Rhinolophus ferrumequinum: one gene and its partners. The protein of the gene in region 4 interacts with the protein of the main gene of each other region in a biochemical or structural test. Links are inferred from orthologs where the notes say so. Each region holds a gene or a part of one and is shown on either strand. Other genes may lie near its edges. The genes, in order: ERBB3, LCP2, LAT and tyrosine-protein kinase ZAP-70.

What was found.
Region 1: the proteins of tyrosine-protein kinase ZAP-70 (region 4) and ERBB3 form a complex in vitro, tested with the Homo sapiens proteins (2 studies listed by BioGRID and IntAct, with this or other methods). The link is inferred for Rhinolophus ferrumequinum from reciprocal best matches to the Homo sapiens genes ZAP70 and ERBB3.
Region 2: of the proteins of tyrosine-protein kinase ZAP-70 (region 4) and LCP2, one has a biochemical effect on the other in vitro, tested with the Homo sapiens proteins (2 studies listed by BioGRID). The link is inferred for Rhinolophus ferrumequinum from reciprocal best matches to the Homo sapiens genes ZAP70 and LCP2.
Region 3: of the proteins of tyrosine-protein kinase ZAP-70 (region 4) and LAT, one has a biochemical effect on the other in vitro, tested with the Homo sapiens proteins (2 studies listed by BioGRID). The link is inferred for Rhinolophus ferrumequinum from reciprocal best matches to the Homo sapiens genes ZAP70 and LAT.

Annotation. Positions count from the first base shown.
Region 1 is NC_046293.1:55,449,697-55,456,710, reverse strand, and holds the start of ERBB3 (receptor tyrosine-protein kinase erbB-3), read right to left. Parts: upstream 3,017-7,014; 5' UTR 2,876-3,016; coding exon 2,794-2,875; intron 1-2,793. UniProt on the Homo sapiens protein: Tyrosine-protein kinase that plays an essential role as cell surface receptor for neuregulins.
Region 2 is NC_046307.1:36,963,465-36,970,935, forward strand, and holds the start of LCP2 (lymphocyte cytosolic protein 2), read right to left. Parts: upstream 3,017-7,471; 5' UTR 2,766-3,016; coding exon 2,688-2,765; intron 1-2,687. UniProt on the Homo sapiens protein: Adapter protein primarily involved in signaling pathways within T-cells, as well as other immune cells such as platelets, mast cells, and natural killer (NK) cells.
Region 3 is NW_022680357.1:1,328,366-1,335,883, reverse strand, and holds the start of LAT (linker for activation of T-cells family member 1), read right to left. Parts: upstream 3,019-7,518; 5' UTR 2,893-3,018; intron 2,720-2,892; 5' UTR 2,379-2,719; coding exon 2,276-2,378; intron 2,084-2,275; coding exon 2,056-2,083; intron 1,961-2,055; coding exon 1,926-1,960; intron 1,687-1,925; coding exon 1,599-1,686; intron 1,468-1,598; coding exon 1,403-1,467; intron 1,309-1,402; coding exon 1,134-1,308; intron 1,064-1,133; coding exon 969-1,063; intron 1-968. Other genes in the region: SPNS1 (protein spinster homolog 1), read right to left, coding at 3,452-3,546, 3,813-3,984, 4,306-4,404, 4,650-4,715, 5,053-5,242, 5,529-5,684, 5,915-6,060, 6,809-6,875 and 1 more. UniProt on the Homo sapiens protein: Required for TCR (T-cell antigen receptor)- and pre-TCR-mediated signaling, both in mature T-cells and during their development.
Region 4 is NW_022680356.1:2,476,128-2,483,579, reverse strand, and holds the start of tyrosine-protein kinase ZAP-70, read right to left. Parts: upstream 3,008-7,452; 5' UTR 2,932-3,007; intron 2,702-2,931; 5' UTR 2,630-2,701; intron 1-2,629. UniProt on the Homo sapiens protein: Tyrosine kinase that plays an essential role in regulation of the adaptive immune response. Regulates motility, adhesion and cytokine expression of mature T-cells, as well as thymocyte development.

The DNA of each region.
Region 1 (7,014 bases), on a different chromosome or scaffold from region 4:
CAGCAGCACCCCCCTCCACCCTCAAGCCTTGGGCACAGACAAGTGACCTCACTAGCGGGGGGGAGCTCTGGTAGTGGTGGTGGGGTCAATGTGAGCTTTGTCTTTAAAACTGGAAGATAAGGAGCTGGTTGCCTACCCTACTCCGGCTTCCCTTCTCACTCCCTTCCCCTATCCCAACACACTTTCCAGCCTAGAGTATTCTTCAGCAAATATAGAGAGGCCTGGAGCAAAAGAGCAGCAAACTCCCCCCATTCTAAGCCTTCCACTCAGTTTCACTGTCTGAAGAGTAGTTAAAAAGCCTTCCAACATGGCAATCCTCACTCACATTAGGTAGAGCCTAGAATTGAGGTCCATGAGGAATGTCAGTCTGGGGGTTTGCTTCACCTTGTAAGTAAGTACAAACGATGTAGGGGCTACAGGAAATCTTGACCCTGAAGCCCTATCCCTATCTCTTTCCTCTGGCTCAGAGAAAGACTGTGGGGAGGGTGTGGGGAAGATACCACCTGTTCCAACCACCCTTCCCTGAGGCGGTGGCAGCTTAGTGGGAGGCAGGAGTGGGAATGGAGGAAGTCTGATGAGGTCCCAACCCCTCCTCCTAAATACATCCCTGGTCTGACCACTTTGAGGGCTCCCATTCCCTATCATTCCCCACAAAGGGAACGGGGCAGACAAAGAAGGGTAAGTAGGCAGGCAACTCCCGGGGAAACCTAGGGACTCCAGGGTCCTTGGGCTGAAATGAAAGAGACTAGGAAGGTTAGTCTTTTCTGGAACAGCCCCACCCCAACCCCCTTCCTGGCAGGACACCCCCTCTTCCAAGTCAAGGCGCCAACCCTTCTCTCCAGATAAGGGAGGAGCCAAGATTTCTGCACAGGGAAGTGGGCTGTGTGTGTGGACGTGCACACACTCGTGAGACACACAGATAGCTCCTCTGCTGGCCCAGAAATCTATACTAGCTCTGTTCCTGGGTTTCTTTATTAGGAAGAATTTCAGGTGGCCCCATCCATTCCACCAGCCCATTGTGCAGACTTTGAGTCCGTGCTCGGAAGGCGACTGTTAAGAGGTCCCAGTTCCCTGCCACCCAGAGGGTAAAGTCCATACTACATACACAGGGAGCAAAGGGCCTGAGCGGGAAGAGAGTATGAACACCTCTGAAGAGGCACCTTGGGAGAAGGCGGGGGGGAGGGGAATTATAACAATCCCTGTTGTACTCAGGGAGCAGGGGCACAGGGAGGGGCTGTGTCACAGGCCCTCCTAGGGTAGGGTACTGGGGTGGGTCTCAGCAAGAATCTGCAGCCCCTCCACAAGCACAGGCCTCCACTCCAACGTCCCCCACCCCCATCACAGTCAGGACAAAGGGGCTATAGAAGGACTGAGACAGGGCCGGATGCCCAGAGGCTGCATGATCCAGATAAAGGGTAAAGAGACCCAACCAAGCCTGCCCCCTGGCTCCCTCAGGGAAGGTAGCCAGGGTTCCTGGTAGAAGATTCCAGGGGTCTGAAAGGGACAATGATAGAGTCCCACTACTAGGTCCCTCCCACTCTAGTCCCCAGCCCTCCCTGTCCCCCCCCCCCAACTCCACCAGCTGGGAGTGTTCACATCTCAAGATCCCAGGGTCTAAATTTAGGCCCAGCAACTGTGGGGGAAGCACAGGTGTTTCTCCCACTCCCACTCTGGGGAAGGGGCCCTGGCTGTGCCAAACCCCAGAGCTGAGATCTAGGGGGAGGGGAGAAGATCAACAGGATTCCTTCAATGCCAGCAACATCAGCACCCCTCAGGTGTCCAGAGACACCCCAAAGGGGTGGACTCAGATGGCATGGGAGTGGGAGGAGGAATAGAAGAGCAATCTGACTCCTCTAGACTCCTAGAGACAGAGTCGGACAATAAACAGAATGGTGGTGGGAGAGAAGCTGGGTCTAGGAAGAACTCCCCAGGAAGGACAGGAATTCAGAGGGTGGGAGAGGAGCCCTGTTAGCCCTCACGTTGGGGAGAGAAAAGACAAACAGGCGGGAAATCCTTGAGGCTACTACAGCTCAGCTCCAGGTCCAGGCCTTTGCGTATAGTAGATGCTCAGTAAATTTTAGTTGATTTGCTCTGGATCTTGACAAAGAAAGGTTGGTCATGTTGGGACCAGCCAGCTTTATGGTTTTTAGGGAAAGAGGACAATCATACTCTGCATGGCCTCTCACCCTGGTATCACCTGGACTTGGCTCACTGGTTAATCTCAGCCCTCCCCAGGGCAGGCTCACTCACGGAAGAGGAGGTGCCTCTCTTGTTTTTCCAACACTAGAGAACAACAACCCCCTCCAACCCTTCCATAGCTCCACCCTGTCGGCAAAACAACAAAACTGGAGGTTGCTGAAACCCGGGGATGGGAGGGGGGTGAGGGTGGGCAAGGGACTGGGGAGCAAACTGAGACACCCCCCCTTTCTCCAAGATCTCCACCTCCAATCATCTTACGTTTACAGAATGGAAGTCCCAGCTCCCCTCCCTGCAGGGCCCCCCCAGAAGTGTGAACTCTTTCGGCATCAGTCCTATCGCAAAGGGCAAATTAGAGGGTCGGCGATGCACTAGGGAGGAGGTGGTGGTGGTGGAGGGGGTGGTCCAGGAATCCCATCTCCCCCGGTCCCACGCCTCGAACCCGAGCCAGACGGTCCCTGCCCAGGTGATCCCAGCAGATCCGGGGTCAGCATCCCCAGGCTCGCGCCACCCGATCTCCTGCGGCTGCCCCAGGATTCCGCGCACTCAGTTCGGAATCCCAGGTTCCGAGCCTGCCTGTGTTCACTCGCCGCTTACCTGCCTGTGAGTTGCCCACCTCGGAGCCCCGGGCCAGGCTGAGAAGGAAGCCCAGCACCTGCAGAGCCCCGTTCGCCCTCATGACTCCAGCGGAGGGTGAGCGGAGCCCAGCCGAATCCGGCCCCGGGGGCCCCTGGACTAAGACATCGAAGCGGAGCCACCTGAGCCTCCCGCGAACTGGTAGCTGCGGCGGACGAGGTTGCAAACTGCAACCGGAGCTGGAGCCAGAGTCCGGGGCGGGATGGCAGGGGAGGGGTGTGTGTCTGAGGGAGCGCAGAGGGAGGGGGTGAGTCACGGCCGCGCCCCCGCGGGCGCGAGGCTGGCGTGGGGACTACTGGAGCTTCCACCCGCCGCCAGCACGCCCCACGCCCAGTGCCCCGCAGCTGGGCCAAGCGGATCCAAGATGGGTCTCACCCGAATTTTTCTTTGGGAGCTGGACTAAGGGGAGGTCAAGATTCCAAACGCCCCCAAATGACTCCAAAGGGGTAAGGTAATGGGGGTGGGGAGAGAGCGCCAAAGCCCGGCCCCCTGAAAGTTGGCCTCGCCCATTAACCAAATCACTCAACTACCCTAGCCGGTTGGGTCACTTGGGGGATTTTTCTCTCCGAATGTGAACGTTTCTCTCTGTGCTTTTGAGGGGGAGGATATTTTTGCCTCACGCTCAGTTCACCTCAGTTTCCCCGGAAACCCCTCGAAACCCCATAACTCATCTACCCTGCCGAGGAACCCGAGCCCCAAGGCCGCGTGAAATTGTACTGTCTCCGGCCGCTTCCTCCTCCAGACCCGGCGCCGGCCGGGTCTCTCCGGGGGATTTGGTTGAGGGGCGGGGGTGGTTTCCAGCCTGGGAACAGACCCGGAGCCCGCCTTTCCACTTCCACCCCGGGAGGGGCTCCCGCACCTGTCGCCATCCCCTCTGCTGCCCCCCACGGCCGCCTGGGAGAACAGCTGCCTCCTCTTCCACAGGAGTCTGACCGCGCCGTCGGGGCGGCGGGAATTCCTAAAGCTCTTCTGGGGACCTAGATGGGCACACTATCCCCACCACAGGCGCTCACACCTTCCCTGGCGCCTTCCAAGCCCGGGCTGGAGCTGGGAAGGAGGAGGGGGTGGTGAAAGAGGACATGGAGAGGGCACTAGAGACTAAGTCCACGAATGGCCTGGATCCCTGGCATCTCCACCACCAGCTCCCGGATCCTGGCCAGAGGCGGTCGGGCGCTCTGCGAGTGGCAGCCCCAAATCCGGCTAGTCTCGGGACGGATCCGCCGGGCGCCCCCTGGTGCGGAACCCGTGGCAGTGAGGCTCCACAATTGGCATTCCGGATTTTAGCCAGAGAGTTAATTATTTTCTTCACAGTTTTTAGCCTGAAGACGTCGAGAATAGTTGATGAAGAAAAATTTTGCCTCTCACTCCGACCCTAGACTACCGGCTACAGTTCTTTAAACTTGCTCGGTATTGATATACACCCTAGAGGGTCCACTCTCTGCTGGAGGCTTACCTTTGCCGGAGGGCGTTGGCCTTGCCCTGACCACTTGCATAACAATCATAATACAGTAGTAATCAACGTCAGCGAAACCTTAACATATACACACATATACCACTTAATTTGCAAGCGTTTCCTCAAACTTACAGAATGTTTTACTTAACATAAAAATGTATGCTAAGGGACCTCAGTCTACATTTTATGGAACTGGAAAATGTGTAACTTCTCCAAGGTCATGTACTTGGTGACAGTGGATCAGGTGATTAGGAAGAGGGGCTCAGGTTTTTGCTGAGGATTTCTTATGTCACACTGATACTGGAGCTTCATCTGCTTCTGATCAGATTCCCATCAGATAACTGAACAAATACCATCTTAAGGCGCCTTTTGTTTTATTACCCATCTCAATTTAGTGTTCAAAGACACTGTTTCTGAAGGAGGAAACCCTCCTTAGTTTGTTTGTAAAACAGTTTTGTCTATTTATAAAGGTTGTTGTTTGAATTTAATGAGAAAAGGCAGGTAGAGCTCTTAATTATTGTGTTGCACTGGACCTTTAAAGAAGAATTCAATGAATACTAGCTGTATTTATTCCAGCTATCACCAACCCCACCTCTCCCTTTCCCAGCTAGATCCCAAGGTGTGTTTGCTGGTATCCATTCTTCAATAATTAGAGAAACATAGGGATATAAACACTGGATAAAGCTGACAAGTGAGGGGCCATCTCTATTGGGTGCTACCCTAACTGAATAAATAAAGGAAAGGAGGCCGTATTTTAGAAAAGCTACAGTTATCCAGAATTCCTTTATCTTTCTTATTTGTTATCTGATGACTTTGGTTCTTATTTTACTGTGAAAATAAAAGTAATCAAAAGAAAACATCCTTATCTTTCTACCACCAATCTGGCCAATTTTCCTCCATCTTCACTTATATACTCTGACTTCCATCTTGTTATAATGAATTGTCCTTGCTGCTATTAAAGCTGTCACTCCCCCATTCCCATCCCTTACCCCAATTCACCCTCCAGTTCTACATCTCAGATCATTCCTTCCTGCCTTTCTCCTATATTATCCCCTTTCTCCTATAGTATCAAATTTCCTTTCTACTAGATCATTCCCATTAACATACAAATGTACTGTAACACCTGCCGTCTTTTAAAAAAACATACAACAAAACAAATAAACTTTCTTTGACCCCATGGCCTTTGTTCCTAACTGCTGCAAGGTATTCTGTCATGTGAATTCCTATGCTTTATTTGTTCATCACTCCAACGATTGCCTCTTGTTTCTGGCTACCACAGCGATGTTGCAATAGAAATAAATACCCTTGTATGTGTCTCCTTTGGTTCTTATGCATAATAAACCACACTCTGGAATATTACACCATAAGTAGTGGGATTTCTGTATCCCAACTTCCTCACCAATACTTGACATTATTCAGGTTTCCATTTTTTTTTTAATTTGCCATGAATTTAAAATAGCACATAGCAGGGGCTGCCGGTTAGCTCAGTTGGTTAGAGCGTGATGCTGGTAACACCAGGGTTGCCGGTTCGATCCCCACATGGGCCAGGATGAGCTGCGCCCTCCCCAACTAGATTGAAACAACTACTTGACTTGGAGCTGATGGGTCCTGGAAAAACACACTTGAATAAATAAAAGTTAAAAAAAAATACGGTGAATGTTTAAATAAATAAATAAATATCACATTGCATTTCTATAATTACTAATATGTTTGAGTGTCTTCTAACATTTTTTCCTTTGTTTCTCTTTTATGAATTGCCTATTCATTTTCCTTTGCCAATTTTCCTATAGGGATTTTCATGCTTTATATCGATTTGCAGCAGTTTGTTATGTATTTCAGATATTAGTCCTTTGTTGGTTTAATTTTATTTATTTATTTACTTATTTACTTATTTATTTATTTTAGAATTTTTATGAGTTTATTTGAGTCAAACTGACAACATATGCCAGGGAGCAAAATCTCAAATGTTCTTCCTTTTGTTGTTTTTAGACATTGCAAATATCTCTTCTCAACTTTCTTCATTAACTCTGTCAATAACTTGTTTACTGAACAAAAGTCCTTTGGTATAATCTGATTAGTCAATTTTACTTATGGTTTGTGATCTTGATATTTTTAAAGACTTTCTTCCCCACGCTTGCAGCACGTTTATTGAGGTATAATTTAAATATAATTGATATATAATAAGTTGTACATCTTAAGTCACAATTTGATGAGTTTTGGCATAGGTATATAATCCAATCAAGATAATGAACATATCCATCACCCAGGAAAACTTTCTCTTGCCCTTTGGTAATCATTTTCCTAGTCCCCGTAATCTCCCGCAGCCCCACCCCAGCATGTATATATTCAGTTGTTTAAGCATCACTTGTTGATAGTAGATTTTAATAATAAAAAATACTAGTACTACATAGTAAAAATAGGTATTTGTGTTTAGGTATTTTTAGGGGAGAAGTTTTCAGGGACTTGTCAAGTAAATACTTAGGCAAAGTAAAAGGTATACACCAAGTAAGTTTCATATAACATATTGCCCCTGCAAGAGTGATTAATGCAAAAAAACAAACAAAAAACAACACATACACAATTAGAACTAATAAGAACATTAAAAAATGTTCTGAGTATAACAACAATACTACCCAATTAATAGTAGTTATCTTGATTCTAAAACTGGATAATGAAGATGCATGAAATAAGTTATTGATTCATCTCACATATATGTATATACAATATCC
Region 2 (7,471 bases), on a different chromosome or scaffold from region 4:
AGTTCACTGGCATCTTTATCAGACGTATCTCTGATTTTGCAGCGTGCCAACTTCAACTCTAAATAGACAGATAGCCTGGCAGACTGGAACTTGCCTGGAAGTTCGTTGTGATTCACGGCCTGGGGGGTAGCGTCTATATTTTTAGCAAATACTTTGATGATTCTTATGAGCACCCAGCTTTGGTTGGCACTGGTCTAGAGCAGGTACCTCGGGTTGTAGAAGAGCCAACTGGGGCCCAGAGAGGGGAAGGGACTGGCCCCAAGTCACACAGTGAGTTGGGGACACAGCTGGGGGTAGAAGCCATGGCTCTGAGCCAGTGCCTTCTCCACTGCATAGCCTAGGAAAGCTGTCCTGCTAAGCCAAAGGGGATAGGAGGGCTTAAAGGAATATAAAACATGACTTCAGTCCTCAGGGGCTCACATTCCAGACACAAGATGAGCTAACGTATCTGAGATAGTAAGACACAAAGACCTGCCAGTCTGCCTGGGCACCCCAGCGAGGGTCCAGTGAACAGAGCAGGACAAAGGGAAGATTGAACATGAATTGCCCCCCTCTCTCTGCTGAATGCCTCACACCCACTATTTCCTTTAATTCCCCCAACAATCCCACGAGGTTAGTTACTATCACTATTTAACCGATGAGGAAGCTGAGGCACAGAGATGTCGAGTAACTAAAGGAAGGTCACCACACTAGCAGGTGGCAGAGCCAGGAGTGAAACTAAGATGTGTCTGACTCCAGAGCTGGCTGGGGAGGTGTCTCCAAGGAAGGCCTGACCCCACTGCTTCCTTAGAAACTGGACTTGACAATCAATCCTGTAACTAGGGCATCGGGTGGCTAGGGTCCATCCCCAAGTGATCCGTTCGTGCTGGTTCAATCGGTACGTTCTCTCTGAGGACTCAGGTGCTCAGGATTTGGAGGGTGTCTCTCTGAGTCCTGGAGGCTGGGACTTCCCAGATCACAGATGCACCTCCGTTTCCTTCTTCCTCTCCCCTGTTCTTTTATGCTGAGAGCAGTAACCTGTCCTGGTGCTACAAATTTGTCCCAGAGTCTGGGATTTCCAAGAAGAAAGCTCTCTCTCAGGCAGAGGCCATGCTCCCTGAATCATCCCTAACCCATAGTTCATCTCCCTGTGCCAAGGGGGACATTCGTTACCCAGGGATTCGCTTGTTGGACTGGGTTGTGCCATTCTCCTTCTCACATTGGAGATGGGGACTGTCTGTGCCTCTCAGTCTGTCCCCGGGTTTCCCTCCCTAATTCTTCTCTTCTTTCTTTATTGAGTTAACGTGCCCCTTGACAGCATTTTGGCAAATTTCACCTTGTGCCTTAGTTTATTTGATCTACATTTAAGATAAGTATGTAGAGACATCCTTCAAAAGTCAGTTGTTCAATCTTAACACCCACCATGTCAAAAGTTTATTATGACCTTTGAGAGGGAATAAGAACAGAAATGAGATGCACACAAAGCAGCCAATAACAGGCTCTGTCGGCTGTCCCTCTATCATGTCATTCAACATTTTCATACTTTTCTTCTTTAGCTTGGGGAAGAATAGTTGTGATAGTCAATTTCTTGGTACCCTATAGACCCCAGGTTTGGCTCGGTGTCCTAAGGAGAGTATTCCACCCCCAGAAAAAAACAGAAAGTTGAGTTAGATCTCTAAGCCTTGACTTTAACGTCTCCTCTTTATGACAGTCTGGAGTGTCAACTGAATTTACTGCCAGCCTTCAGGGATGGGGGTGTGAGAGAATCAAGTGTCCCTCACAGACTCTGTATCCCTTGGACAGGGACACAGGGTCCCTTACTGAGTCATGTAGCTTGGGATCTGCCCAAACAGATATATAAACTGTGGTCCCAGCAGCAGATGACCGAGCACAGGGATCCTTGAGCATCTCCACATCCGGAAGGCAGGACGGCAACATTCTGGCCTCAGCTCTGCCACAAGCTTAGCCTCTGACCCTGCCTGGCTAAGCCTCTTCCTCTGTAGGGAGCTCAGTTCCCCTGGCTATAACCTGGGCTCCTATCGGTTTTCTGACCTGCTTCACAAGACTCTCATAAAGCTTCAACGAGCCTCTGTCCCATATAAGGGCTTGAGACCCCGCTTTCAGGGTCATGAGCACTGACTGCCCAGCTGCCACCTCCCGCATTGCTCATCAGAGCCTTCTTCATCCCTCCTACCCTGCCTTTTCTTTCTCCTGCCTCCTGGACTCCATTTCTCCCTTTCTAGTAAGTAGCCTTGATCTCACGAGTAGTTCTAGCAATTCTGCAGCTCAGAGCATAGACTTTGAAACCAGACAGGCGTGACTGGAATCCTGCCTCAGTCACATGTAGTCCCTGGGGCTTTGGGCCATTTAACCTCACTGAGCTGATTTTGCAGCTGAGTCAAAGGAACAACAACACTGGAGAGTATTAAATGGGACAGAGCCTCGAGAGCACACACTCAAGCCCTGGCACATACTAGCTGCACATTCATTCGAGGGCCTCCCTTCTCCGCAGCTCTCACTACCACGAACGCTCAGGGGTGTAGGTGTATCTACATGGCACTCGCACAACTGGGGAGGTTGCTGCGAGGTTGGAAGTTCCATTGCTATCTTTTCCGCCTCTCCTGTGCGGCCTGGACTCCATCTTCAAGCCTCTGTCCAGCCCACCGAGGACATTGCCAGTCCCGCCACCAACAAAGAGCAAGGCTCACCTTCCTGAAATAGTCGGCGAGGCTCTCGGCATCCCAGGCCAGGACCTCTGAGCGGAAGGGCACATTCCGCAACGCCATGGCTGCTCTCCCAGGAGGAAGCTCAAAAGCTGAGTGTGGGCGCTGCACCCATGGACAGAGAACTTCAAATCGAGGGTGTGGAGGTGTCCTTGGCTCTTCCAATTCCCAGTTACTCTTTGGAACAGCCTCGTTGGAGCAAACGTCTTTTCTGCTGTAACCAGATCCCAGAAAGCAACGTCTTCCTCCGCGAACAAATATGGTCTCTTCTCAGAAAACGACTCAGCAAGTTTCCTTTACCACTTCCTCTGCTGGGCTCTAAATAAGTAAACAAGGAAGCTCAGCTCTGGGGACTGGAGAGACAGAGAGAGCGACAGGGTTGGTGATACCCTGCTGGTCCCAGCCACCCCAGCCGGGTGGGAGGGGTGACGAAGGGGACGTAGACTCTCCCGTGAGTCCAAGTAGGCTTCCATTAGAACTCTTGGCACCCATGTGTCCACACCACATTCCTGCTTGGCTGCGCCTTTGCTGATGAAAACCTATTTTGACAGTTGACCTAAAATATAGACAATTTCCCACATCAGTGCACTGCTGGGGGAGGAACATGGCCTTTTCATGCTTGCTAACCACCCCTCAGTCTCTCTCAAAGGGATAAAGTTGAGGTTCCTTCAGCTACCTCCTTAGAGGTCCTAGGAGAGGATTCTTCATGAGTGAGCTGGGTGGGCACCCAGGGCTGAGAGAGGGGCTGTGCCGGGCAGAACTGGGTGTAATTTCTGATATGAAGTCTCTGCCGTGTGCCAGCTTAGGCAAGGACGTATGATCTAGGACTCTCACTGAGTCAAGGGGAATTTCCAGATCTGTTAAAGAGGAAAACAGAAGGATTACTTCAAATGTACATAAAACGTAGATGCATTTAACTAGACAAACTTAAAGAAAAAGAATTAAAAGAAAAAAACAATAATTGCTATTGATGCTGCCATATATTCTGTTCACTGTTGTTTCCACCATACATTCTATCCAGAGCACATTTCCTGGCGTGGCCCTGAGACAGGAGATGGGCACCTGCTGTTTCCTCAGTCGGTTTCAGACTCCGTGTACTCCTCATAGTCTAAATGCCTTGTTAGCAGAGGTTGACTACAGTGGCTAAAAGCAGATGTATTTATGAGGTCTGACAATTATGTTTGTGAACTCGTCCTAGAAAAAGTGCTACGTACCTCATTACTGAACATCATTACAGTCACCTTCAAAGTACTCCCCTTGGGAAGCTATGCAACGATGCCAGCGCCTAGTCCACCTTTCAAAGCAATTTTGGAACTCTTTTTCTGGAATGGCCATCAGAGCTGTTGTGGTATTATCCTTGATGTTCTGAATGTCATCAAAATGTCTTCCTTTCAATATTTCCTTTACCTTTGGGTAGAAAAAGAAGTCATTGGGGGCCAGTTCAGGTGAGTAGGGAGGGTGTTCCAATAGTTATTTGTTTACTGGCTCAAAACTCCCTCACAGACAGTGCTGTGTGAGCTGGTGCATTGTCGTGATGCAAGAGCCATGAATTGTTGGCAAAAAGTTCAGCTCATTTTCATCTAACTTTTTCACGCAGCCTTTTCAGCACTTCCAACTAGTAAACTTGGTTAACTGTTTGTCCAGTTGGTACACATTTATAATGAATAATCCCTCCGATATCAAAAAGGTTAGCAACAAGTTCGTGAACTTAATTGTCAGACCTCGTAGGCACCATTGCCGCCTCTGAAGACAAGTTCACTGTTTCATCTCGTACTCCAGGCACGTACACATAGACGGCCATGGCTCTGATGCTTGAGGAAAGAACCCAGCTCTGTTGCATTTATTGAGTGATGCTGCATTGGTCCTGAGGTGGTGCCTTCCTGAGCTTTTTCGAGGGTAGCTTTGGCCATGTACCATGTCTGCCATTGTATGCATCAGCCTGTCGTTGCGAGTGTCAGTGAGATTGGCATTTCATCCCAGGCTGGGCTCCTTTACGGAGGTGGTCCATAAACTTAGCTGGTGTCATGCTCCCCCCCAGGGCACTAGGGGGGTCAGTGGAGGCAGCCCAGGCTGAGAACTCCTCACAGGGCCTGGACCTAAGCACGCTCTCTCATAACTGGCCATGCTCCACATGGCATGGGCCTACTCTTCAAAAGCCCGCCACTGCTGGGAGAGGTCACTTCACTTTCCAGTCACTAGAAGAGCAGCGAACAATAAAACACCATTTGAAAAAAAGGGAGACAGATAAATCACTTCCAAGTAGAATGATCAAAGAAGATGTCATGGAATTAGCTGTAATTTAAGCAAGGGGAAGATGGAGGGCATTCTGGACACACGCATGCACGTGCGCGTGTGTGTGTGTAATATGTTGGAGTGTACTTCATTAGCAAACAGAACACACCACACCTGTGGAAAGGAACATTCAAGATCATCCTGAAAAGTAGAAACAAAATTTTTAATGACATTCATTCCCATTGCCTACAGAAAAGCAGGCGTTAGAATTAAGGAATCGCTAAATATGAGGCTTTGAGGGAAGAATTATCCAGTACACACGGAGCCCATTTAGAAGAAAGACACAGCAGTTAAGAAACCTGGTGACAGCGATGACGACATGATCAGAATCATGGCAGATGCAACACATGGAGCCCTGCGTGTGCTCCAGGGAGGGACTGAGAACTGTTCACTAATTATCTCATTTCACTGTTGGCGCCATTGTGACTCCTACTTTACAGAAGGAAAAACTGAGGCTCAGAGAGGTGAAGCAACGTGCCCCCTTGCACCCGGCATGTGGGTTGTGCAGTTGGGTCTCGCCTGGACTCTCTCTGAGTTCAGAGCCCCTGTCCTTTACCTCTCTGTCACCTCAGGCTCTGAGATGTTACATAAATCGCCCAAGCTGGAGTAGGCATTCAAACCCAGCTGTGTCTCCAGAGCCTGTGCAATTTCCACTCTATCCGTCTGCCTTCCGCGAAGAGCCAGTGAGGCTGGCAGTCTGGACAAGTTAAGAAGACGATGCAGCCCTTTCCAGGAGGCAGGGCTTTGGTGACCCCGCCCCACAGGATCACAGGCCTGTTCCTCAGAAAAGGGCAGCTGTGCAGGCGAGAGCAGTTGACGCAAGGGGAAGCTGGTTGCCTGAGACCTGGAGCCTTTCCTCTTCCCCAGTCCTCGGTGATTTCCCAACGCTCACAAGTTTCACATTGCCTGTCTCTGCCTGTCTGGAGGGTTCTAGAAGCTCCTGTTGCAGGGCCAGTTAGCCCTGGGGAAGAGAGGGTCAGGACGCCAGGAGGACCAGGTAACCCTGTGCAGGCCAGCTCCTTGGCTCAGTCTCAGGCTCTATAACACGGGCAGTGACAATAGCAGCCTCTGGGTACAGCCCACAGCCGGGGGGAGGCTGCCGCAATGACGGTCAGGCCAACTTCCCACCGACCCCCTAGCGAGCATTGGTCTTGGCTTCGAGCATGAAGCAGAGTGGGAAACAGGTAAGAGGCAGAGATGTGAAGCCATGGCTCGGGTAGGACCCTCTCCCAGCACTCCCTCATGAAGGAGCAAATTGAAAGGTTAACAGAGGCCTTCTTAGGCTTTGTAATCTTTACCTCAAGGTTAGGAAGGGGTCAACTAGTCTCTGAACACAGTAAGGACTGCCTCATGGGAGTACCAGGAATGGGGTCACGGGATAGGAATCTGAAACGTGTATCCAACAGAGCCTGTGGACAAGAAAGGAACACTTGCAGGGAGTGATACGTCAGATTTTTCAATCTTAGGGACCAAAAGTGGATGTAGGAGCAGCACACTGCAACCTAGAGGGAGGTCACCCCGATATCCTCCCTGCCCCACCCCACCCCATCCAGACTTGAAGCTCCCTCCCTTTCCAGCTAACCCACAGCAGAGTAGGGGGGGAGATAACTGCCTTTTTCACAGCTAAATTTAGGGGTGAGAAAAAATAAGCAGGTCATTAACGGGGACTTGGGAGTCTCAGCCTCTGTGCGTGAGGGCGGAGGAAGGAATTGTTGCTTAGGGACCAGGAGAGAATGGAAAGTAGGGATTTTGGAGCGGAGAATGTGTTGGCCTTCTTAGGAGAGGTACCTAAGGAGTTAGCGGATGGGTGGGATGATGCGCTAGTTTGTATTTAATTTAGAAGGAGGGTGTTGGCTGGGGGAAGGAGAAGAGGTGGTAGAAAGTGGCCCAGAGAGGGTGCCATCCCTCATACGGGTTCATCCCAGCCTCACCTCCACCAACTTTTAATGGCTCGATGTATCACCTGAGGCTGAGGTGAACTGCTGTTGGTACTTTCTCTAGGGCCTGTGTGGGTTTGCTTGCAGAAGGAACGAGAACTGTAGCGGTCACCTTCACAGGGAGGGAATATTTTCCCCTCAGTTCTCTAAGGCTGGCAGTGGAAGCCCCTTCTGTGTGGACTCCTTTTGGATGGCAAATGGCTCAACCACACAGAAGGGTCAAGCGAGGAGAGCCAGGATGGGGTCCTAACTGTTCCCTTGGGCAGGGCAGCTTCACACACCTGGCAGCCATACACTGAGGCACAGAATTTAGTGACCCTGCCTCCGAATGGGTGTGCCAGGAGGGACAGGCCTGCCAAAGAGCATCCCCAGATGTGCAGGAGCCGTTCTCACCAGTACTGGTGGAGGCCACGGGGTGGGCAGTGGGGGAGGGGCGCTTGCAAGCCACACTGCGCTCTGTCCTGACCACTGCTCAGACCCTCCTCCCAGCCCAGACTGGACACCTCCCCCTTCCTGGGACATGCATGAGGAAAGCATGAA
Region 3 (7,518 bases), on a different chromosome or scaffold from region 4:
CATCTCATCGTGGTGGTGTGAGGACTAAAGCAGTGAATATGAAGTGTTAAGTATTAAGCAGTAAGTGCTACCAAGCCTCTGTTAAATAAATAAACCCTACCGCCATCCAGAGGGGACAACCAAGGTACAGGAGGGGAAGGCCCAGGCTCAACAGCTCCTGGGAATTGAGGTTTAATATGCTAATACACGTAAAACTCTTAGTAGGGCATGGATTAGGCTCTCAATAATATCAGTTCTTTTATCATGACTCTGCCTCCTTGGCTCTTCTATGAGAGGTACCCAGTAAACACCACGAATGAATGAGTGAATGAATGAACGGAAATACTTGGACAAAGGGTCTGGAGCTCAGGAAAAGAGGCGACAAGTTGAGAATCTGGATGGCAAATGAAGCCAGGGTGTAGAAGTGAGGGGCACGTATATAGAGAGAGGAGAGTAACAGACACTGAAGAAAGCTTTTCACAGGCAGGATGAGACCAAAACGAAGGAAGAAAAACAGCTCAAAGGAAACAGACAATGCAGGAAGCAGAAAAGTTCCAAAACAACAAAAACAACAAAGACAGCCTATAATCAATTCCCTTCGAGATTTACAAGATGACTTTGCCCCCCCACCCCCATGAAACAAGAACAGGAAGCTATGAAAAAGGAACATTTGGGGATCGACAAAGAGTTTTCAGAGCCGCGACACAAAATAAAAAAAGAGAGTCAAGGAATAGCCCTGAAAGAAGAATAAAGTCAAGGAAATCTCGCAGACAATAAAAGGAAAACAAAAAAAGCCAGAGCGATAGGAAAGAGGAGAGAACAGGTAGGAAAATCAGAAGATTGGAGCAGGAAGTGCTCTCTCTGAAGGATGGCAATTGTATAGAGAGAAGAGAGAACGCAGAGGGGTCCAAGCTCCAAAGAAACAACCGGAGAGGAGAGCGTGGAGGGGCTGGCACCGAGAGGTGGGGGGCGGTCACAGTGGGACTCACTGGAGAAGGCGCTGTCTCGGAGGCCGGGGTTGCTGGGCACCGGAGCTGCTGGGACAGCGGTGCCAGTGGCCGGGGCCGTATCAGGAAGCACCTCCCTGAGGGGAAGTCAAGGGGCGAGTGAGCAAAGACCGGGGCTCGGCCCCCTCCCCCCTCCTGACCACTCACAAGTAGCCCTCGTTGTGATAATCTTCCTCGTCCTCGTCTTCATCGTCATCCTCACAGACGGGCTCTGTGGTAATGACACAGAGGTCAGCAGAGCCTGGGGCAGGCCCCCCGCCCCCAGCCAGGGCACCGAGGGTCCCTGACGCACCCTCGTTTTCATAGCTTGCCACACTGTTGGCTGCAGAGAGAGGGAGCGAGAGGGAGACTGAGTCAGCTGAGGCAGGGCCTCTCGTGTGCCCAGCCCCAGGCCCTGGGCCCCGCTCCACACGTACCGCCATCTGAGTCCTGCCGGGAAGATGGCATGCGGTGGGAACCCCCTGGGGGCTGTGGGGATCTCCTGGGAGTCAAAAGTAAGAGGTCATGCCTAGGTTGGGGCTCTGGGGCAACGGGGTTTGCAAAAGAGAAGGGGTCCCAACCCAAGGAGCTGAGCGGTAGAGAGAGGGGGTTGAAGGAGAAGGGGCCACTTACGGGATGGGGAGTAGGTCTGGCTGGCTCAGGGGTGGATAGGACGTAACAGGTGGGTAAGAAGTGGCTGGTGGCCAGGGGGCGAGCGTGGCTGAGGACACAGGATCAAGCTGAAGGAATGACTCTGGACATCATGCCCCTCCCGCCGTCGAGGCCCCGAAGGGCACACTAACACCCTGAAATTTCTGTACCCCGGCCAGGTCTGGGGGCACCCATCTCCCTCCCCACCCCAGCTTAGGTCAGGCACACACTTGCTCACATGTCAGGGCACTCACACGCCAGGGCACTCTCTTCCCTACCCCAGAAGGAAGGGACCCTCCATGTACTCACGAGGCCGTTTGATCATGATGCTACTTGGGGTCAAACTGGCAGGAAAGACAGAGCTCGGTAAGGGGCCGGGAGAGGCCCCAGGCCCAGGCCCAGCCTGGCAGTGGGTGTTAGGGGCCAAGGGCAGACTCACCTATCCGACGGTACACTGTCATATGAGTCTGCGGAAGAGAGGGCCAGTGAGGCAGGAAGAGGGGGTGACTGGGGACGGGATGATGGAGTCTGGGGCTCTCCATGTCCATGTGCAGGACAGAGTTCGGGACACTTCACGATGGCGTGAGGGATCGGGCAGGGGGGCGAGGACCCCTGTGGGTCCCTCCGAGCCTCTGGTCCCCCTGCCAGCGCCCACTCACCTGGCAGTTCTCGGCAACGCACACAGAGTGCCATCAGCAGCACAGCCAAGAGAGGCAGCAGCAGGGGGCCCAGCACCAAGGAGAGCAGGACGGCCGCCTCCATCTGCAGGAGAGCTGGGACCAGGCCTGGCTGCTGGCCGAACGCCCTCCAGGGCAGAGCTCCAGCAGGGGCAGAGCTGAGCTAGCAGGGGTGCCGGGCCCAGCACACCCGGCTAGGAGCCTGATGAGGGGGCAGCCGCACCCTCCTCGAGGGCTCCCCGGATCCCCTTGCCTCACTGGGCTGAGTGGGGGTCAGCGCTGGCTCTGGAAGACCCTGGATCCCAGGGTGGTCAGGCCAGGGCCTAGGCTGGAGTCTGGGGCACCAGCCACTGGTGTGGACCCCGCGCCCAGGCCTACCTGCCCCCCGGCTCCGCGCCTGCCTCTCCTCCGCGCCTGCCCGCCTGCCTGCGGCAGGAAGCTGTGGTGAGCACCGGGTGAGGGCAGGAAATCATCGGGCTCCTCAGCCGGCTGCACCCACCCCCTTCCCACCCCCACCCAGCCAGTGGGGACTGGGGGGAGGAGACCTGAGGAGCCACCCCCAGGTCCTCAAAAAGGGGCTGCTGGCCTCCAGGACGTACCAGTGGGAGAGAATGAGACAGCTGCAGGCCAGCCACGGACGCAGCACGGAGGGAGGCTGGCACCGGGAATTCGGAGGGGCACGGGGCAGTGCCCACCCCATCGCCCGAGCCAGCCGGCCAAGGGGCGGGCTCTCGGGAAGCAGGGGCGTGACTCATAGTCACACGGAGCCAGCTCACGCCACCCTCCGGTTCACCAGCCCAGAAGCCCCACACAACTGACCCAACAGCCCCCCAGGGCTGGAGAGGGGGCATCCCATACAGTCCTGAGATAGGAGGTCACCAGCACCCACAGAGACTCAAGCAGGCAGTTGGGGACTGGCTACAAATTTTATTCAGTTACAAATAGCACCGAGCCCCTGGGGCTGCTCCAGGGGAGAGGTGTCCCCTCCTGGACTCACAACGCCCCCCCCTTGGCCATCCATGTAGTGTATGGGAGCGGGAACACGGCCCAGTGCCCCTCCTGGAAGCGGGGCCAAGTCGGGGGTTTGGGCCCGGGCACCTCCGGGGGTGGGCCCGAGGCCTGCTGTGTTTGGTGTGCAGGTAGGCGAGGGACAGCCCTTCAGATGAGCACGCTGGACACGGGGACCCGGGTGGAACGGCCTCGCTGGGGCACCACAATGCGGTCATCTTCCGGGCCTGCCTCGCGCAACAGACCTGGTGGGGGAGGGGTCAGAGCCAGGGTTGGCTGGACAGACAGACACAAAGCCACTGTGGGACAGACAGTGGGAAACGCCTGGGGCCCCGGAGCTGTGGGCACGGCGGGACGTCAGCCTGTGGGCCAGGCAGACCCGAAGCTGGATGAGGGGAGAGCTGGGGTGTGAGGTGCCAGGGACGTGGGCTAGGCCACAGATGGGCTGGCGGATGACCAAACAAGCAGGCAGAACTGTGACCTAGGGCAAGGGGAGGGGGGCCCGACTGACCCTGCACGTGCAGCTGGGCCTGCCGGCGGTCGCCCTCAATGAAGATGGCAGTGCCCAGGAAGGCGGCTCCGCCCAGGGCCCCCACGAAGGCGCAGAGCATGAGGGAGAACTGCAGGGCCCGGAACTCGGACAAGAAGGAAGGGGGCCAGCTCCGGCGGAGGCGGTCGGACATCTGTGGGGAGACGAGGAGGAAAGCCAGCAGGGTCACGGGGAGGGCAGCGGGAAGAGGGAGGCTCAAACTCCAGAGAATGAAAGGGGGACCTGGAACCTCCGGGGAGAGGACCCCGGCCGCCCTGTGGAAACCTGCAAAGACAAAATCCTTCCCGTCTAGCGGAGGACCCAAGGTGACGGCTGCCTGGCATGGAAGACCCGGATCCCTCACTGGGGCCAAACCTTCCGGTTCAGCCCAGGCTCAGGCCACTGACCACCGGCCGGTGCCAGGAAGGCAGGGTGCCCCAACCCCCACCAGGCCCAGTGAAGGAGCAGTGCTCACCAGGCCAATGAGGTAGGGGCTCCCAGCGTCCCCCAGCAGGTGGGACAGCACGATCTGGAAAGCCTCGGCCGTGGAGCGCCTCGTAGGGATGACCACGTACTGGGAGGAGGGCAGGAGACAGCAGGCAAGGAAGGGGTCAAGGCTCCGCCGAGGCTGAGGTCACAGGTGTGATGGGGGAGGGCAGGGCAGGCCGGGACTACAGGCCCACCTGAGGCTGGACTCAGAAGCCAGTGTGGGGCGGGGGCTCGCGGAACGGACAAAGGCCACAATTCAAGGCAAGTGAGGCCTCCACTCCCTGCACCCACCAGCATCGGGCCCAATGCTGGACCGGCCCACCTACTCACCAGTAGAATATCAGCCACGATGGCCCAGTTCATGGACAGCAGTGTCTCCCCAATAAAGATGAAAATCTGGGGGACCAGAGGGTGGTGTGGGGGAGCGGGGATGATCTCATCACAAGAAGAGCAAACACGTGGAGGCCCATCTACTAACCCGTTTAATCCTCACAATACCCCCATGAGACAGAGCTATTCTTCCCATTTACACATCATGAACCTGAGCACAGAGATGTTAAGTCACTCGGCCCACGCCACACAGCTGGGAAGGGCAAGAGCTGATTCAGAACCAGGCCCTCCTGCTCCAAGCTGGTTCTGAACCACGGGGCTGGCTGAGCCCAGTCCTGCCCCAGCGCCCCATTCCTCCACCCTGAACCCCCAACACCCCTCTGGACACCTGCTGGCTACTCACGTAAGTGGCTACGATGCTGCCGCGGGCACAGGCGACAGACAGGAAGAGGAAGGGTGCAGAGCCCAGGAGGCCGGCCGCGCAGACCAGTGGGTCAGCCCGGGGGTTGCAGCGGCGGAGGCGACGGCTGATCTCCACCCCCAGGGACACACCCAGGACCCCCGTCAGGCAGGTGATGAGCCCAAAGACGAGGCTGGGGGAGGCGGGGGCACACGGGCTAGTCCATCTGCCTGCAACGCCTCCCCGCCTCACCCCAACAGCCTGGAGAGGAGGATGGTCCACCCCGGTCGCCCACACAACCCAGGCACCGCAGCCCACAGGTCACCAAGCTCCCGCCAGCTGTTTCCCAACCAGGACGCTGAGAGGAAGTAGCGAGTGGAGCTGGGATTCAGACTCTCCCTGTCTGAGCCTGGATTGTCCTCTGTCCCCTCCATCTCCTGCCACCTGCAGGCCACCCAGCCCAGTCCCCAGCTGGGTACCTGTCAGAGGACGAGCAGGAGTCTCCAGGAAGGCAGGGTGGGGTCTCCCCCAAGACCACACGGGAACGCAGCAAGAATGCAGGAGCCCAAAGAGCCAGGGAGCCCGTGACAAAGGCCACAGCCGTGAAGCCAAGGGAAGACAGGATGAAACTGGGGCTGCACAGATCGTTGAAAGGGAGGATGTCAGAGTCCACCGAGGTGTCAGAGGAGGGGACTCCGTTCTCCCCTCCTGGTGTATTTTAGTCAGGTCAGGGCACTGGGGGTGGAGGCCGCCCTGGGTCCCAAGGTCTGGGCCTGTAGTTCCTGCAGCTGCCACAGGGGGCAGTAGTGACTGCATTCCTGGCCCCAGGGAGGGCCAGCTTGGGCTGCGATGGAATTAAACTCACTTTCTGGCCAGAGCTCTCAGGTCTGCCCACCACGAGGTTGGGTGCAGGGGTGGGGAGTCTGAGTGGCGCTCCACAGCTCCCCTCGGCGGCTCCCGTACCACCAGGAATAGCAGCAGTACAGCCACCACTCCCAGACCTGGTGTCACCTGGGGAAAGAGTGGGCTTCAGGCCGAGCACGGGCGGACACCCTCACCTGTGGGGCTGGGAGAAAGGGAGGGTGTGTAAAGGCACCTCAGGCCCCAAGACCTCACACACCTGGGCTAATGCTGGCTCAAGGAAGCTGGCCTGCACCTGGGGGGAGGAGCAATGGCCACTAGGGCCACCCCCACTTCTGCATGCTTAACTGCTCCCTCTTTGGTAACAGCACCCTGATTTTCTTCTGGGAAACCACTCCCCCCGCTTCTCTCAATCCATGTGGTTCAAACGGGGCTCGGAACCCAGACTTGTCCAGCCTCAGTGACCAATTCAGTGGCAGACACGTGACCCATGCTCATCTAACCGGATACTATCCAGGACTCCTACGCAAGGACCCAGGGTGCCTTAAGTCTCTAACTGAGGAGATAAACGTGTGGAGCTTTCTCTCACTCGAGAATGAAGTGAACACAGAGGAAAGGGGAGCTAAGACAAGGATTACCCAGTTCCTGTGACGGTGGGAGTCCTGGATCAAGCTGTACCTGAAGCTCACCCTGGGACTTTCCATTATGACAGCCAGCCCTGTCCTACGTGGGGGCTTACACTTTCACAATGCGTTTCTGTCACCTGCAGCCAAGAGCTCTGTCTGGCACATGGTTTTGTGGGAAGGGAAGCGAGGCTTTCCACAGGCTTGGCAGAGGAAACACTGTTTTGAAAAGAGGTGCCGAGAGGTACCTACCCCCAGGTGGAGAACAGACTCACCCTCAGAGCCCAGTGCCAATCTCCAGCCATGTCCTTCACTTTGGAGCCTGCGATATAACCCAGACCACTGGCGGGGAGGGGTGGGAAAAGAGAGGGGACAGCCGGTCAGTCCTGCCCAGTGCCAAGCTCTTCTGACTGCCCACCGGGCAGGCCCGAGGCCCACGCACCTGCCCACAGGGATGGCGAAGTAGAACACGCTCAGCATGCGACTCCGCTGGTCTGCCACGAAGAGGTCGGCGATGAGGGTGGGTGCGATGGTGGAGTAACTGGCCTCCCCGACCCCCACCAGGCCCCGGGTCAGGAGGAGCAGCCAGAATCGCTGGGGAAGGAGACAGGGGGACGTGGTACCCGCCCTGCAGCCAGCCTCCCAGCCCGCCTCACCAGCCAGCTCTGGACAGGCGGCAGGGATGGCGGGAGAGGCCAGGGTTTTAGAATCAGACAGACCTGAGCTTGAATCCTGGCTCCACTACTTACTAGCTGTGAGTTTGGGAAAGGAACTTAACCTCTCTGAGCCTCAGTTTCCTCATCTGCAAAAGGCGGATAATAACAACTTCACATAACTATTGTGAGGACTGGATGATAAAAGGTCTGTTCATTACCTTGTGCCCAGGGAGGACAAAATAAATCTTAATTTCTATCTTGCCCACCCCACCCAAGACACCCCAGCCGTGAGTCATGATCTTAGATGGGGGTGTTATTTGTCTACCAAA
Region 4 (7,452 bases):
AGAGGAGAGGACCAACGCCAGCAGCCTTTGCACAGGCTGCTTTCTGTTCCCAGAACGGCGCCCACACCCTTCCCTTGGCCAGATGCTGCAGGTCCCCTCAGTTGTCCCCTCTCCTGGAAGTGTTCCTGCCCAGGCTGAGTCAGGCACCGCCTCTGCTCTCCCAGGGCCTGTCCTCCCAAATCACAGCCCTGATGGCTGCATAGGACCCCTGTCAGTCTGCTCGTCTGCCTCTGACCAGGCCGACCGCCCCAAGACAGAGCCTCCAGCTGTCTTGTTTTCTCCTGTAGCCCCTGCTGCCTCTGATAAATACCTATCACCCGGGCAACAACAACAGCCTCTGTGCCAGGGACTGGGTGGTACCTCTTACGAGCGTTATCCATTTAATCCAATCCTCATCTCACCTCCATTCACTGCTAGCCCCATTCCTCCTCAGCTAAAGAAACTGAGGCTTACAGGGGTCAATGCTGTGTCCAGAATCATGCAGCCTGCAATGGCAGTTGGGATTTGAACCCAGGCCTCTCACCCAGAAGCCGGCATCAACCACTCCAGTCCACGAGGACAGTGGAATCCCTGGTTCCAAGCTGTGTGCCCAGAGGCTCCCCCACCCACAGACCCCGCACTGACCCAGGTGTCACTGTCCCCTGAGCTGCCTTCAACTGTCAGGGCCCAGGCTGTCTGGGGGCCAGGGGCAGGTCCCCACATCCAGCAGACTCTCTAAGTGTATGCTGAGTGACTGGATGATGCCACGACACCAGCTTCCCCACCCCACCCCGACGTCTGCTGCCTGGGTTTTAAGGGCTGTGTGACCACGACGAGGAGCTCTCCCTCTCTGCACATCAGGCTCTGTGACTGTAAAAGGGAGATGGAAAAAGGTTTAGGGGATGAGTCTGGAGGACGGAGCCTGGTGGAGATGTGGGGACAACATGGTCCTATGCATTGCAGGGTGCTTAGCAGCATTCCTGGCCTATAGCTACTATGTAGGTGCCAGTAACACTCCCCAAGGGACAGAGGGAAGGTAAAATTGGCTGTGTCTTAACCCTATGCTTGGGGAGGGACCGGGAGTGGTCAGCATGGAGCAGTCTGGCTGCTGCAGCCCCCAGGACAGTCTAGGATATGAAGTCCAGAGCCTGAGACCACCCGGAGTGAGGAATGATCATCAGAACTACAGTTATGCTGGAACTACAAGCATTTGAACTGCCCTGGTCCACGTACACGCAGATATTTTTCAGTAACTATGCAGTCGGCCCTCCGTCTCCCAGGTTTCGCATCCACAGAGTCAACCAACCCACAGGTCGAAAACAGTATTTTTGATCCGCGGTTGGGAATCCACAGATGCGTAGGAGTGACTGTAGCCATTGTTCTAGGACATTTTATGTATCGAACTTGAGCCTCCGCAGGGGTCCTGGAACCAGCCCCCATGGATACAGACAGACGACGGTGGCGTCAAAAGTTATACATGGATTTCCAACTGTACGGGGGTCAAAAACCCTAACCCCCACATTGTTCAAGGGTCAACTATAGCAATATACTTATATAGCACCTACTGTGTGCCAGGCACTTAGATGTATTCACTCACCTAATCCTTGCAAGAGCCCTGTGAGTGAAGGATTTGTGGATTTGGGACTGAAGCATGCAAAGGTGGAGTGTGCTTCACTTCTGTGTGCCCAAGGTCACACAGCACACACAGTCGGTGGCAGAGCCAGGAGGCTAATCTAGGTCTCCTGCTCCAGAGTGTACACTTCAACACTGCCCAGTGTCCCTGCCGGGCTGCATGCATGAGGCTGGAGGACAGGCGAGAGGAGGAAGAAGCAGCTCTGGGGTGGCAGAAGAGCCTGGGCACATGGCACCCAAGGACTTGGCACCCCAGGAGTCCCAGAGCCTAATCTCTCAGCCAAGCTTTATTCAACACCTACTGTGTGCTTGCTGCCTTGGCTGAAAGAACAGTAACAATGATCATCTTGAGTTGTTCACCACACGAAGCCCTGATCCTTTCTGCCAAGACCGTTTCCTTCCTGGGGCACCTTTCCAAACCTCTCACCCAGCAGTCAGGAGTCAAGCACCTACTAGGTGCCAGTATTTTTATCTGCATGTACCAGATATATAAACTGAGGCTCAGAAAGGCCACGCAACTTGCCAACGACACACAGCGATTGAGCGGGATTCAAGCTCTTTGCTCCTTCACCCCTCTGGGACCCGTTTAACCTGAGCTGCCGTACAAGTGGCTCAAGCCTGCCCCGGACTCCTCACGGTACTCATCGGCATTTTGTTGTTCAGATTCACAGCCCTGTTGAGCCACCCTCACATTCATGGCCTCCGGCCAGAGCACAGGTTTACTTTCTCTGGAGGTTTCCCTGCTTCCTGGAACCAAGAATGCTGCCCTGGCGGGGCCCAGCGGGAGGCCAGGAACTGAACAGGCACCTCTGTGTCCCCAGGACACTTCTACTCAGCTGAGCCTCTGAAAGGGTTGGGGGTGGGGGGTGCTGCTTCCCTCAGTGTGGCCGCGTCTGCTTCCTTCTCCAGCTAGACACCCCCTGTCCCAGTCCAACAGCGCTCCGGACTCTATCCTCCTCCACCAGACCCAGGCCACCCCTGGAGACAGCAGCCAGCTGTTCCATCCGTGATGACTTACCTGGGGATGGATGTCCAGTCAAACGGGCCACCCACAAGGTCTCTGGTCCCCAACGCAGACTCACAGCTGCTTCTAGATGAAGAATGAGGGCCCAAGAAAACAACTTGGGTTTCTCTGTAGGCCAAGCCCCCAGCCTGAGGCCCCCGCTGGCTAACCAACCCCTCAGGCAAGGTGTAAGGAGGTCCCGCCCTGCCAGTTTCTCACTGGGGGGAGTTTTATTCACCTTCTGCCAGCTGCCCCAGAGTCCCCTGGGGTGGCTGTGCTGGCAGGACAGAGGCAAAAAACAAAGGATGGCCACTCACCTGGATGCAGCAGCGACAGCACGAAGGCCCCAGCCGGGCAGGGACCTGGGCCGGAAGGCCTGATGTGCTCTCAGCAGCGGGTTTCTCAGCCTATTTCCTTGATGCGAAGACAGGAAAGGGGGCTGCGTTTGAAGTTTACGTATAAGTCATAAAGTGCTGTGTTCAAGGAAAATCACAGGCCACGTGCTCCGGAGAGGGCAGAGGGCATTTCCGGGGCCAAGCAGTGCCTGCCCCAGCGGGGTGGGGGGAGGAATCAAGGCTAGCTGCAAGCAGGGGATATGCAAGAATGATGATTCCAATGGTACCCCCAAACCTCAGGAGGGGAGCTGTCTGTGCTGGAATTTTGGGGAGTGGGACAGCGGAAGTGGGAGGGGGCGGAAACTGGAATCCCCCCACTTTCCCTTCCCAAGGGGACATGGACACAGGCCAGCCCCTGACAGAACTGCCCCTATGAGTGATTCATTATTTATTCCATGGGCAGGTTAAAGCTAACAGAGGAGAAACCTACAAAGTCAGTGCACACCTCAAAGTTTCCAAGCACCTTCTGTGTGCCAGGCATCAGGACAGTGATGACAGCCCTGTCCCTGCCCTCAAATGGTTTCAGGCTAGAGGAGGAGGCAGCTGAGTCACCAGGGAGACAGAGCGTGATGGCAGAAACCTGGGCACTGTGTGTCCCCAAAGGAGCCCCACGCAGCCTGGGGGTGTCAGGGAAGGATTCTGAGAAGGATCGGCCATATCAAGGCACGGAGGCAGGGCGTCCCCAGTGCCCGCCAGTCCGGCCCCACCTGGACCTTCCCCTCCCACTGCACCTGGCTGGTCACCACCTCCGCTCCGCCACAACCACTTCCTCATCCTCTCGCCCTCCCTTCCCACACTGGCCCATCCTGTGATGGCACACACCCACCCTCGGAGGTGGTGGAGCACCCTCATCTGCTCCTTCAGTGGCCCGCAAAGTACCTGTGGCACGGCGCCCACTTCACCCCATCTCTCCCTCCTCTGCCCCAAGGTCCCTGGAGGCTCTCTCGTCCCCACTTCCTTGTCTCTTGGACCTGTGTGCCCTCAGGCATCTGTGTGGGGCTGTCCTAGGTCCACTGTTGAGATCCCAAGAACCTTCCTTCTCTGGGTCCTGCTGCCCTGGGGGAGGTGGGCTCAGCTCCCCAACCTGACTGCATTTCCTCCATGATGCACCCAGGTCTCCTCTCCTGGGGACCCTCTCCCCATTTCTGCTATCCCCCAGTTCCCTGAACCTCCCTCTCCCCACTCAGGAAATCCTTCTTCTGGGCTCCAGGCTGGGACACTTTTCTCCTACATAGATTTTCCCCTAAAACTGCTTTTGGTTAGAAGCCTTTCCTTTCCCCACAGCCATCATGAAACTCAGGATGTAGAAAAAAATCTCTTTGTTTCCATACTGGACTCCCCTTTCCTGGGGTAGTGAGAGAAGACTGCCACAGGCGAGGAGAGGACAAGTCACAGCATCAGTACCCCTACTCCGCAGAGGTAATAACAGGAGCACTTAGCCAGCACCTACTATGTGACAGACAACCCTGTAAGCAGTTCACAATTTACTCTGTTTTCCACATAATGTAAGTGAAGCCCAGAGAGGTTAATTAACAGATGCCAAGTGGCCAGGCGGGATTGGGGCTGGGGTCTGGCCCCACAGCCCACCTCTGGACACAGGAGGAGGATAGCTCCCTGCGAGCTGGCCTCCCAGAGACCTGGAAGGTAAGCAGGCTGCATGTGGGGGCTTCCATCTGGGGTCTTCTGGCCTGGGAAGGGGACTCCCAGACTCTGAGAGGCACTGGCTCAGCCGCCCTTGAGCCCCCTTCCGGTCCCATAGGCCTCCTCCTGAAACTACATGGCCCCAGACAGTCATTCTGAGATTGGCCTGCAGATAAGGCTGCGAGTTCTGCCCAAGTGATGATAGATGGATGTGTCTCCTGAATGTTCAGAGGAAAGAGCAAACAGGATGGAAATGTGGGCTGGGAAAGTTGTGGTGCATTTGTCGGGGTGGGTTGGGGTAAATATTCATTCCAGATATGCAAAGAGCCTCAGGACAAACTGATCGCTCACTCTCACACCCCACACTAGTCTCCCGGCCTGAACTCTGTCCCCCCACCTCTTCTGTCTGACTCCTCCTCCTCCACGTCTCTGGTTCCACGTGGCTTCCCCCAGAAGCCTTCCAAGCCTCAAACTGGGCAGGGTGGGCTCTATGTCTGTTCCACCCGACCCGTGCACAGGCCAGATTTGATGCCAGAATTCAAAGGACCCCAGGCCAGGGAAACCTGCCGCAGGGAGGGGGGCTGCAGGGAGAGAGCTCACAGCTCAGAGCAATGATCCCCCAAGGGAGGGTAGCCCCCCCCCCCCCGGGCCCCTTCTCAATTCCTTCCCACCTGGGGATCTTCAGCCATGCAGCTCACGTGCCTTTCCTCTGGATGGTCAGACAACGGTGATCTTTCTCTTGTTGCTCTTTTCTGGTTCTGCCACTTACAGCCCAGGGATCTCAGTAAGTTCCGTGACCTCTCTGTGCCTGCGTTTCCTCATTTAGGAAATGATACCTATCTCATAGGGCTATTGTGAAAATTAAAAACAGACCTTGAAGCACGTGCACTATTACTGCTGTCGTCGTCGTCGTTATCATCTTTAGGTTGTCCCGCTGTTTACAATGTGCTAGTGATTGCAAGTCCAAGGGCAGCAATGGGACTCCCTTGCGCCCTCCAGGGGCTGCTCTCAAGTACTGCATGCTTCCAAGTGCAATGCAGGAGCCTAGAGGTTGAAAGTGAAACCCATCCCCACCCCACTGCACCAACCCCCCGCAGAAAAATTAATCCAACCTGGTTTAAGTCACAGAGAATCAACTGGACACAACAGCACATGTGTGCTCTCCCCTGGGGTCATCAAATATCTGGCTCCTTAAACATTCAAACCATGGTGACAGTGTCACCTCTTCAGTCCTTTTGGGGCTCCCTATTGATTCAACCCCGAGCCCCTGCTCTGTGCAGACTCTGTTCTAGGCACTAGGGATCTGCTGTCAACAATTCATATGAAAATCCCTTCCCCTGTGGAGCTGACATTCTGGTGAGGGTGAAAGAGAAGTAACAAAATAAATAAGTGCTCCATAGAATATTTCAGGTGGTTTCAACTGCTGAGGACTAAAATAAATCAGGAAACGGGAGAACAAGTGTGTGGGCATGTGATTTGGAACAGAGGGGTCAGTGCAGGCCTCATGAGGGGATAGCCTGAGAGTTAAGACCTGAAGAAGGTGCAGGCGGAAGCAATGGAGAGAGACATCAGAGGAAGAGCATTCCAGGCAGAGCGAACAGCAAGTGCAAAGGCCCTGGGGCAGGTTCGTGACCTCTGAGAGGTGGGGAGTGTCTCACTCCTGGCTGCATCCCCAGCAGCGGAGTGGCACTCGGCACAAAATAGTGTTCGATAACTGTGGTCTGAGTGGAGGAAAGGCCCAGATAAGGGCGTTGAAAATGCTTGCTCAGGGTTTAAATGCTGACCCAAAAGTTGCTGCCTCCTCCACCTGTTGGTTTCATTCTCAGACAGTTTTTCTCCCTGTGGTCCAAGACAGTGATTCAGCTTCAAATGCACTTGGGGAGCAAGAACCTCTCTCAGTGCTCCCAGAAAAAGCCCCAAACAGCTCATTGGCTGAAGGGATCACATGCCCATCCCCCAGCCCGTCCCTGAAACCAGTGGCTAGGCCGTGAGTGGCTTAGGACCAGGTCACATGCCTTAGCACACCACACTGAGACAGGGGAGAAGAACCCCAGGGAAGTCAGAAGCTATGGCTGGAAGGAGGGGGGAAAGGGTGCCAGGCAGGCACAGAGCCAGAGTTTCACAGAGTAATCATCACAGCCCCATGAAGTAGGCTAGCCCCATTTTCCAGATATAGAAACTAAGGCCAAGAGGTTTCACAGCCGGTAAGTGACAGAGCCTGTGATCTCCTGGTTCAGAGGAAGCCCAGAGCCTCCACAGGGCTGGACCCTGCAGTCCCCATGCTGCTGAGTGGCCATTCCTCCCCAAGCCAGGGACAGGCTGCTGGGGCAACCACTGAGCTGACGGCAGAAGCCCTTAGCGGACAGCACACTGAGAAGGCAAAGGGAGCCACCTCTTTGATAAAGAGGGAGATGGAAGACAGTTCAGGGCAGGCTGCCTGGGGGCCCTCAGGTAAAGGGGGGGACCTCTGGCAGAGGCTGAAAGTGGCTGACCCCACTTGTTCCTCCAATGGCAACCTGAGGGAGAGACAGGAAGCCAACAGGAGGTGTGCTGCCTCTCGGGTCTGGAGTCCCAAGAGGTTGGGATGAGGGTGGGGTACCACTTGTCGGGAGCGCAAGGAAGAACCCGGTGTCTGGCGTGGCTGCTGCACACCCAGGCCTGCCAGATGCACCACACTGCATGCCCGGGAGGATGCCAGCAAGCTGCTGTGAGGAAGGCTGCACCACCTCTTCTCCAGGGTCCTCAGCACCCAGCCCAGCAGTGCCAGGCACACAGCCGGCACTCAATAACTGTACTGCTGAG